Linked DNA regions of Schizosaccharomyces pombe. The protein of the gene in region 1 interacts with the protein of each later gene in a biochemical or structural test. Each region holds a gene or a part of one and is shown in the gene's direction. Other genes may lie near its edges.

The links.
Region 2: of the proteins of pat1 (region 1) and ste11, one has a biochemical effect on the other in vitro, tested with the Schizosaccharomyces pombe proteins (one study listed by BioGRID).
Region 3: of the proteins of pat1 (region 1) and mei2, one has a biochemical effect on the other in vitro, tested with the Schizosaccharomyces pombe proteins (one study listed by BioGRID).

Annotation. Positions count from the first base shown.
Region 1 is NC_003423.3:1,681,175-1,684,774, forward strand, and holds pat1 (serine/threonine protein kinase Ran1/Pat1), read left to right. Parts: upstream 1-1,686; coding exon 1,687-3,099; 3' UTR 3,100-3,381; downstream 3,382-3,600. UniProt on the Schizosaccharomyces pombe protein: This protein is a negative regulator of both sexual conjugation and meiosis. It phosphorylates mei2. It blocks the onset of meiosis until conjugation takes place.
Region 2 is NC_003423.3:3,981,794-3,985,628, forward strand, and holds the start of ste11 (DNA-binding transcription factor Ste11), read left to right. Parts: upstream 1-1,582; 5' UTR 1,583-3,792; coding exon 3,793-3,835. UniProt on the Schizosaccharomyces pombe protein: Key transcription factor for sexual development. Activates the transcription of the matp, matm, mei2, mfm, ste6 and rgs1 genes. Binds specifically to a DNA fragment carrying a 10-base motif 5'-TTCTTTGTTY-3'.
Region 3 is NC_003424.3:4,512,828-4,516,662, reverse strand, and holds the start of mei2 (RNA-binding protein Mei2), read left to right. Parts: upstream 1-1,637; 5' UTR 1,638-3,370; coding exon 3,371-3,835. UniProt on the Schizosaccharomyces pombe protein: Crucial for commitment to meiosis but it is not sufficient itself for the commitment. May be a splicing regulator.

The DNA of each region.
Region 1 (3,600 bases):
AATTTCGATTTCAGCTTTCATATCCCCTGGTCATTAACGCGATTACTCTTACTCAGGTTGTTCGGCTGTCTACTGTGTTAAAGCAATAAAGAAAACACTACTTTTATCTGATTAGAAATCGAACCAAAATTAAAAAATTTATCTTTTATTCATTCTACACAAGTTTGGATTGTATTCTTATTTTTTTTATTTTATTTTTTTTTTAATTAAAAACTTCGAAATTCTATAAACAAACGTTGAATTGTCGAATTTGGATTTTATTTTTTCTTTAACCACCATTTTTTATTCTTACTAATATCCTCCCTTCCACCATCCTCGTTTTCTTTTACATTTGTTTTCCCTTCTTCCTCTTGGATTCTTATCATCTCCCGTGTCTAAAAGTTTCCATCTTACTCGTTTTTCTAACAAAGAAATCACTATTTCTCATCGCGACGAGCATTAGTCATATTTGAGTCGCGTTTCCTTTTCCTCTTTTTTAATTTATTATTTTTTTTTTGTTTTATTTATTTATTCTTTTTCACTTTCGTCTTTGGTTCTTGTTCGCGTCTGCTTTTCCTTTCTTTGTTCTTTCCCCTAGCCTCTTCGATTAGAGATAGATACTTCTTTCCATATCCAAACTTACTACTTCTCTGCTTTTCCCCAATGTAAATGGGAATTACCCTGAACGATTTCTTGTAAATTCCTTTGTGCTTGATGAAAATACTTTTCAAGAATTCTCTTCTCTCGGCTTTTCTTAATTACTCGATTTTTTCATTTTACATTCACAAATCCATATTGCTGTGCATACTTATTGACATTAGGTGAACTCATCTCTTTTTTCCCCAGTCCAACTCTTCCACCTAAGTCTATTGACTTACTCGCAAGCGTTGATTGTCGATTGTGTTTCCTTCTCATCCCCTCTCTTCTTTTTAAACCGAACATTCTATTCTCATTTTTACCTCAATTTGGAAAGGATATACTACTAGGTAAAAATTAATTCTACTTTTCTCCCCCATCTTTAACCGACTACTGACCTGTACATTTTCCCGATTTCTCTTACTGTTCCTTTGGAAAATCGTTGTGTGTCTTGTTTGTACGTTGATCTTTAGAGTTTCCTTTGATTATCTTGAGCATTCTTACTTTTTATTCCCTGCTTAAAATACTAATCATCATTTTTCCCGGTTTTTTATTCACATTCCCTTCTCACTTCCATTCGTTGTACTCAAAAGGACCTGTGCTTTTTAATCATAAACATTATATATTATTCGTTTTAACTCTTCCTTCCACAATTGCATTTCCCCTTTTCTTTATTAATTTTGTTTCTTGCATGTTGGTCGTTTTCTCTGTGATTGGCGTATTCGATTCTCTTTTTCATTCTTCGTTGTCGTATTTTTTACCTGCTTACAATTGAAAAAAAAATTTTTTTCTTGTAAATTCCCTTATATTATTAAACCTCAAACGATCAAGATAAAACCTATCATTGTGTTATTGACTATTTTCCTGTTTATAACGATCTTTGTTTTTTTTATCATTGATTTTAGAAGACATTAGAAAATCTAACCTTTCTCAAAGTTTTTTTTTTGTTTCGGTTGCAAAGTTCTTTAAGCTATTCAAAACTTTATCATCCGAAATACTTATTTTCTATTTTCTTATCTAATTTTCGCCATCAATTGGGACTTTATTTAATTTATCTTTACTAAACATTAGATGATGCGCGAAAATCCAGAACTCCTTTTGGGTCAGGTCTTGGGTGATTCTTTACGATTTGTTTCTATCATCGGTGCCGGTGCTTATGGTGTCGTGTACAAAGCAGAAGACATTTACGACGGTACCTTGTATGCAGTAAAGGCTTTATGTAAGGATGGCTTAAATGAAAAGCAGAAGAAGTTACAAGCTCGCGAACTTGCCTTACATGCTCGTGTTTCTTCACATCCTTATATTATTACATTGCACCGCGTGTTAGAAACGGAAGACGCCATTTATGTCGTTCTCCAGTATTGTCCGAATGGCGACCTTTTTACTTACATCACGGAGAAAAAGGTATATCAAGGGAATAGTCATTTAATTAAAACCGTTTTTTTACAGCTTATTTCTGCTGTTGAACATTGTCACTCAGTTGGCATATATCATCGAGATCTTAAACCCGAAAACATTATGGTTGGAAATGATGTAAACACCGTATACTTAGCTGATTTTGGTCTGGCTACTACAGAACCCTATTCAAGTGACTTTGGATGTGGTAGTCTGTTTTACATGTCTCCAGAATGTCAACGGGAGGTGAAAAAACTTAGTTCGCTGTCAGATATGCTACCGGTAACTCCTGAACCTATAGAATCACAATCATCCAGCTTTGCTACAGCGCCAAATGACGTCTGGGCTCTGGGAATTATATTAATTAATCTGTGTTGTAAGAGGAACCCTTGGAAGCGTGCATGTTCTCAAACTGATGGTACTTACCGTTCCTACGTTCACAATCCATCAACCCTTTTATCCATTTTACCCATCAGTAGAGAGCTCAATTCTCTACTCAATCGAATTTTTGATAGGAATCCCAAAACCCGAATCACATTACCCGAACTTTCCACGCTAGTATCAAACTGTAAGAACCTTACACGACGTTTACGACCTGCTCCCCTTGTTTCATCTCGTTATCTCGCATACCAACAACAACAACAACAGCAACAAATGAATTTGCAACAAGGAATTCAAGGTTACCCTCATCAAGGCTATATGCCGACTCAAAACATTGGCTTTCCCTGGCCTCCGACTCCCCAGTTTGTAAGTAATTGGAATCATTGTGCTACTCCAACGATCCCTGTCTCCTTACAAGTCCTTACACCAAATTCTTCACTTAAAGTAGATCCGACTACACCTCTTACAGCACCTATTCATGCAACCGAATCATTCTGGCCTTCTGCCGCAGCGGCGGCAGCAGCTGTCCATAACAATGCTAACTCATATATGCCTATTACACCCACACCCTATCCGAATAATGCAAAAATTTTCGGTTATCCTAATCAACCTCCGCTGACTCCCATACCTTTTACTGGATTCGTTTTGCATCCTGCACCAGTTGGTCGTGCTGCTGATGCCGTAGATCCATCTCGAAAATCGCTCTAAAGTTACTTGCTTCTTTTTTATATTCGCTACCGCACGTTGTTTTGTTCAGGGTTACTGCAAAACATTATAGAGGGCTTTGACTGCCCCAATAATTATTTCTCGGGATTTGAATTTTAACATTGTGTAAATAGCTAACATTTTATGCACTTGTTTTATACTTATATTTCTTCTTTTTTATATGTTTATTATGATGGTAGCATTATCTTTTTCTGTTAACAACATTGATGAATTTTTTTTGCTTGTGGTTTGTTCTTTAAAACAAAAATTTTTTTATAAATATATACTTAAAAAAAAAAAAAAGAAAAGGTAGACGAATGGATCGTTTTAACGACGGTTGTAATAGTAAATTTAAAGAGTTTAGAGCATGAAGCATGCAGTCATATTGTATCACCGCTATACTCGAAATGTTGAAGAGATAAAGCAAACTAAGCTTTTGGAATACGAAGATAGAAGGATATTATTCATAACTTGTAATAATATTGTTAAAAGTTAAAATATTAA
Region 2 (3,835 bases), 2.3 Mb from region 1:
TTAGCTATAAATTTATCGGTTTAGGTTATTTTCAAAGTATAGTCGTTTTCAAAAAATTATATTCGTTTTCAAATTAAATTCGTTATCGTTCAGTAGTAACCTTTTTCATTCAAAACTCGTCTTCATCTATAACTAATCTACATCTTCATCTTCATCTTTACCTCTACTTTCTCCCATCTCTCCTTCCTATCGTCTCCTTCCTCTCTGCATCTTGCCGGCCGCCATTTTCTGACTCGGCGGGTCATCCACCTTTTAAGCTCAACCTTGTTTTGCTGGTCGCTCGCTCAATTCTTACAAAAGCCCAGGTTAATAGTGCGATTGGGTGATATGCAATGGAAATTAGCGCATATCTCAAGTTGTACGCACACATACGCTAATCTGGCGGCAATTCCTATTTTCTATTACATTGCATAAGTCAAAGCTACTTTGCACAAATTCAAGTAGCATTCATTTCCTTCTCTAAAATAATGTCTAGTCTTTGGACTTTTATCGTTTTCAATGGTTTTATTTCTTTTTTCCATTCCATTTATTTTTTTTTTGAAATTTTCACCTTTCTCAATTTATTCGTCGTTCTTTTTTTAATATAATAAGATTATACTTTTACAGCATACATTGTGTCTCACATAGTCTCTTCCATCGCGTTTCCCATTTTATGATCTTGCTAAAAAAATGTCATTCTTATGCAAATCACCCTGTACTACCACAGCACTTACCTTTCCGACATTCTTGTTCTCCATCTTACATGTCTATCACTGTAGCGATAGATTATTTGTGGTGCATGCCATCTCCAGGGATGATGGAAGGGAAACACAAGCACCCACGCCTAATTTTCGGTAAATTGTAGCAAAATTCCAATGGCAATGACTCGATAGAATCATTGTATGTGTGTGGTTTCTTTCCTTCCGCTCGTAGTACCTGTATTTTTCATCATGACTCCAAGTCTTCGCCATTCTTATTTCACTCCCGTTCCGTTCACCCCAAACTACTTCCTCATCACTTGCTTACTACTCAAACTGCCGGCACTTGTTTTCACACATTCGCTATGCTTTTTTATTCTTTTAACATTTGCTTAAACCTTACCTATAATACCCTGCGGTTTCGCAAATTGCCGCTCTTCAAATGCCCGCTTACTCTATTTTGCTTTCTCCACCCCTCCTTAACTCTCCAACTTCCCCAGCGTTCTACAATTCCTCATTCATTGGAAGACTAGTCGTTGGCTTCTTGTCATTTTGCCTTGCGCTATCTCCCTCAACGAAAAGTAGCTTTGCGAGACTTTTTGCCAAGTGCCACACTAATCTTTTGTACAGGGGGGAATCCCTGACTTTGTTTGCTGTGTTACATCGTTTGTAGGCAAGTAAAAGTGACAAATGCTTTCGCATCATATGTTACTTTAACCCCTGTGAATTTTGTCCCTTCCCCTCATACACATTTTGGCTAGACTTAAAAAAGTTGAATTTCTTTGTTTGATTTTCATTGTCAGTAACATCGCGTATTACGCCTCGCTCTATACTCTTACTAGTTGGTTGCCAATGCGTATGTATATATATATATATATACATACATACCTGGTGACTTACATAGTGAGAATCTATTCATTTAGCATATATTAAAAGGATATCCAGCGTTGAATTGTTTCGCGTCGTATATTGGATTTTCTTTATTATCAAATAAACAAAGCATTATTAGCATTCTGACTTTTCAATCTTAAACCTGATTGTGAATGCTAAAAGAAAGTATTTCATTTGATTAGTTTGCATTTTATTTTTCTTTGAGAGCTTTTGCCTCGTTTTTTTGTTTTCTCTTTGTTTTCTTTTTTTTTTTTACTCAACTTAACTTAACTTTTCTGGTCTTTGTCTTGATTGCAGCTTGTCGTCTTTGAATTAGCTTGCCTCCTCCCATTCTTTCCTGTCTATTCGTGTTAAGTCTATTCCTTTATCTTGGTTTGCTTTGGCTTAGCTCTATTCTTTTCTTTGTTTTGACTTTACTTTGACTTATTTTCACTGACTATTTCTAAGTTTAATTTGTTGATTAATTTTTATTCACATCTCTTCTTTTCTTTATAGTAAACAGACTTAAACTTTTTTTTCTTCTTCTATTCTGTTTCTTCATTTTGTTGGTCCAATTGGCTTCGCTTCTCTCTTCAAACTTTTCTCGTTTTTCTTGCCTCTACGTTCTTTTGGGATCCTCCTCTGTTGGAATTGTTAATTGAGAAGTGTTGGAATAATTTTTTCGTTTCTTGAAATCAAAAGGATTTTATCTTTTTTTTTAATTTTTACGTCGATTCCCTTACTGTACGTCGAATCCCCCCCTTTTTTTTATTTTTTTTCTACGTCAAAATTTTTTTATATATTTCTTTGTCTCTACCACCATAGTTATCCTTTATCAACTTTCTCTCTACTAATTAACTAAGTTGTTTCTTTGTTGCAATTTTTGCCCAACTTTAAATTTTTTTTATTCGCATCGTTATTCTATCGCTTGGCTGCTTATCCTTGATATCTGATCTATTAGATTTTCATTCCTCATTTTATTTTAATATCCTTTTTTTAACGTGTTTCTTTTGTGATTCCATTAGTACACACCATTCAGAATTAAGTTGCATTCACCATCGGTCTTTGTTGGCTCATGTTATAACATTATTTCTCCCCTGTCATTGTCGCATTATTCACGTATTCATTGGTATTCCTCACTTTATTTGTATACCCAAAGTTTCACCATCTTACAGAGCTCAACCATTCTTCAGTTATCGGTGTCTCTGAAATTTCTCCCTTGTTACGCCTTTTTATTTGACTCACTTTTCCGTTATTTAGTCTTCCGTTTCGTCTGTTTTTCCTGTTAACTATTCCGCTCTTTCTTGTTTTTAGTTTTTCCTCCGTTTTATATAGAGAAAAAAAAGCCTTAGAGGCTCGTGATTTTGTTCTCGTTTTCAAATCTCCTCAACTTAAAATTAGGCTTATAAGAAAATCACTTTTAAAGCTTCAATTTTTTTCTTGTGGCCTTCTATTATATATCACTTTCACTCCTTCTTCCACTTGGACCTCTACTAATTGTCTCTTTCAAGTTATCCTTGATTCAATCGCCTTTACGAAAAATATCCTTCATCATTCCAACTCGATCTAGTAACTTTTCAGTCTCAACTTTCATCTTTTTTTTTCTACGCTTCTTTACATTTTTCAAATCGGCTTTGAGTGTTGCTTCTGTTTTTTTCTTCTTGAGCTGGAAATTCCATTAGTTTCATTTATTATTTCATTACCTTACTTTTTTCGTTTAGGAAAAACCTGGCATCAAATATACTTTTGTCACTTTTTTCTTTTTTTTAGTCCAGTCAGTCTCTATTCATTAAGCTTGAACTTGATTTCTTTGGCGAACAAGCTTGTTTAATATCTAGATTGACGGAAATTTTATTTTCATTTATTTGTTGATACATACAAGGGAATTTTACTTTTACTATATTCATCTGTTACTTCACTGTGAATAATTTGTTCATTTTTCATTCTTGTTAGTTTGAGATTTCTTTCTATCTTAATACCATTTTTCTTTTTTTAAATAGAAAAAAATCCTTCACACCAGTTTTTATTCGGTGTTTATTTCTTTACTGTTTTCTGATCTCATCCCCTCTCCCTCGGTTTGTGCTGTTCGCTTCTTTTCTACTTCGTTCTTTCTGACTGCGAACTTCATTTATGTTTGCTTTGTTCTTACTGAATCATCTTTCTAATTAATTCTAAGAACCGTTTCATTTGTTTTATTTTCTCCCTTACTTTTACTACAATTTTTATATTTACTCTTCTCTACACAATGTCTGCTTCTTTAACAGCCGAGCAAAAGGACCAAAAAAGTT
Region 3 (3,835 bases), on another chromosome or scaffold:
TCATCCTTTAAGAACAAGATTCCTCTTAGGTTTCTGTTCTTTCCTCAAATTCTCAATTGACATTTGTTGGTGATATAAACAACCATAGAGATAGAAGCGGTTTCTCAGGCCTTCATTTTTTTTAAACCTCAAAATTTAACTTTTGAACAATTCGTCACGTACATCAAACATCATAAACGTTTACGAAACGCATTGTCCCAAAAATAGTAAACTGGCTAAGCAATAAAACAAAAAATACACATATGTTTCTTATAAGACCTTTAATAAGAAAGCCAAAAAATATTTACTCAGCAAAGCTTTAATCTAACCATTGTTCACTGACTCTCGCTTTACTGAAGCAACATCGCTAATGATCATTTTACGTTTAAAAAAAAATAGAGTGTATACGAAAGCAAAACAAAACAAACAAAACAGAACAAAACAAAAATAATGTAAACCCAAAGTATAATCAAAAACCATCATCAGCCTTAAAATCTCTTATACATGCATACAAATCTTTTGGAATAGAATAAATATATCGCTTTTACTCTTTTTTTGTTCTGAATTCCCAACCTCTTTTTAATTGCCAAAAGTTATTAATGCTTCCTTCTTACTTGTCTTCGAGCACTTCTACAACCGTGGTACACACATATTTACCGATTTATACGTGATACATTAAAATCGAATGCGGCGTTTACTAATGTTTATAAACAAAAACGTGAGGTTGTCTACATTTACCTTCTCCACTTTTGCGCATAAAGCATTGTTTTCAAATCACTCAATAAATGCGATCTAGTTTGATCGTTGGCTAATTGGATTTCAGTGGGGAATTTTAATTGCCGAACAGCTTTATAGTTTATGTGAAAAGAAAAGAAAGTGAGCAAGTTGCTAATATTAAATGATGTAGTTATCTTTCATGCCAGAGAACAATCTGGATGTCAAACGACCTCTGTGTAAAACGCGCAAATATAGGAGACGCATGCGCTGAATAAGGGTTGAAAGAAGAAACACTGTTAAAAGAGGGTTTTGCATTGGCGAAAAAAGATGTATGGAAAAAAGCACGCGTAAATAACAAAAGAAATCCTTACCGAATTATACAGCAAGGTGGAGATTACTACACTAATGAAGGCAAATAAAAAATGTGATTTCTTTGACTTGTCCATGTTTTTCGGGATGGATACAACGTTGTTTTTTATCTATCATCTTTTTCAAACTTTCAAAAGGACTAACTTACCTTTACAAGCTATACACTAATTACCACTGATTTGAATAAATAGCCTTTTGCTTCAGTAGACAAAGCAAACACCATAAAAGAAAATGCATTTAGCGTTTCTCGCTATTTACTCTATCTAACGCGAGTCGCGTTGGCTTTCAATCTGTCCAAATTGGATCAGTTGTCCCGCTTTTTATGGGATTTTTTTTCCATTATCGTCCTCTTATATTAGAGCTTACTGACATCGCATCATAACTTTAGATAGAGTAACGAAAGCCGACCGATTTCTTTGTTCCTATTTTAAAGTTTCTTTGTTTTACAAACCCTTCTCGAGCTAGCCCCTCAGGGGCATTGCAAAAACGTTCACAGTAAATGCCTAACAGTAAAGGCTACTGAAATTTTCATCGTAGGTCTATAAATTTCGTTGATTCCCTTTGTTTTCAACGCTTTGTTTTCGCCACTGAAAGCTGCTGTTGAGATTCTTTGTTTACTTGGCTTACTTCGTTTCTTTGTTACTCTTCCCACTTTGTGTTACACGGGACAAAGGCAGGGGTAGCATAAACAGTACGTCCCATTCAATCAAGCATTCTCCCAGTAATTGTCGTAATATTTGCGAGCAAATAAAGTCCTTTTTGACTTTGTGATTTCTTTGAAATAACTTCTTTGTTCTCTAATTACTGTATCTCATTATAAAGCATCCAAGCCCTCTCATTATTCCCAACATACAATCCATCCTTCCTCCAGCAATCCGGCCGGACAGATTGTTGTAATTATCTTTACAGAACTATTTTGGGCTGGCTTTTTGATTTGTACTGAAAAGCATCGCATTGCATTGCATCGTTTTTGTTTTGTTTCGCTGCTGCCATTTAGGCTGTCGTATATTTTGTTTGTCTGAAACTTAACGTTCCTTTGTAATAGAGAAAGCAAAAAATATATACCCCATTTTAAAAAAGGAAAGGGAAATTGCTTTTTTTTTTTTTTTTTTTTTTTTTACACCTCTAGTTAGTTGAAAAACCATATGGAAAAAACTTAAGTTTTTATACATCGTGCATTTACTTCTTTTCCATTACTCCATCCTTGCCAATTGTTTCTCTTACCGTTCGCATTTTCCATCTTAATAGGACACACAGCTGCCATCATCCGCGCCAATAAACCTATCGACCGTAACAAAACATTGATACGTTTATTTATCTAATTCATTTCTTTCCTTCTTAAAATCCCCACCCGCATCTTTGTTACCTTTGAACGCAGTTGCTACTTCTCTTTTCTTTGTTTGTTTGTTTATTAATTACTTGTGCCCACTCCGAGACCAACCATCGCTTTCCCATTCCTTGTTGAAAATAGCCCATAGTAGGCATTCGCAAAGAAAGTTCAAATTATATCTTTTACCACATTATCTACATTTTCTGGCTGTATTCTTGAATCCTCATTTTGATCTTTACCAATTTTTCTTGAATCGTTATTGTCATTCCCTGATATCTTTTTCTCTTCTTTGTCCTAGAATCGATTCCTTTCTTCCCCTTTTTTCGTGTGCTTCACTTTTTAATTCCTTTTTTTGCAACCTAACTGATACGTATATATACATTTATATATATACGATTCCAATCCATTTTCTCTTCATATACGCATATACATTTTTTCTTGTATATATGTGTAAAGTTTCTAATCGATTATTTTAAATTTTTACTTGCGCTTTTCTTCTGTGGTGACAATATCCCATCTTTTTCTTTTTTTTTTAAAAAAATTAAAGGGTAGTTTCCTAGTTTTATCCCGAAAATTTCTCCTCCTCTAACGTTTGTTATTCTTTTGTTAATTTTATGAAAGACAAGTTTGTTTGTTCAAATCTTGGTTGTTATTCTTTTCGTTTGATTATATACATTTGAACGACAATTGTGATTTATTGTTGATTTTTTCTTTTCATTTCATTATTCTTTTGTTCTTTTGCATTTTCTCATCGTTTGTTTGATTTACTAACAACCATCTAACCCCTTCCTTTCTTTTCAACTTTCTGGTCTTTTAAAGTTTGTATTAACTTAATCCTTTGCAGTTCCTTTCTCTCCCTTTCTTACCACTTCTAAACAAAGTTTTATAAGTTATTAGTCATTAAGTAATTTTTTTTACTCTTTATCTATTTTAAGGATTATCGGCCAGCTTTATTGTTGCCGTTTTAACACATAAATGATTATGGAAACCGAATCACCTTTATCAATCACCTCCCCTTCTCCATCTGATTCAACTTTTCAAGTTGATATGGAGAAAACAATGCATGCTTTGCCCTCAAGTCTTCTTGACTCACCATTACTCTCTACTAACGAGCATTACCCTCCCAAGAGTACTTTACTTTTGAGTGGTCCTTCACCCATCAGAAATATTCAACTATCTGCTACCAAATCTAGTGAATCAAACTCAATTGATTATCTTACGGATACTCAAAATATCTTCCCCAACTTTGTTAATAACGAAAACAACTATCAGTTTTCAACCGCTCCTTTAAATCCTATTGATGCTTGTCGAGTTGGTGAACGGAAAGTATTCACTACAGGTAATGTTTTATTGTCAGCTGATCGACAACCTCTTAGTACATGGCAACAAAACATTTCTGTTCTCTCAGAATCCCCTCCGCAAAATGGCATTCAAAGTTAC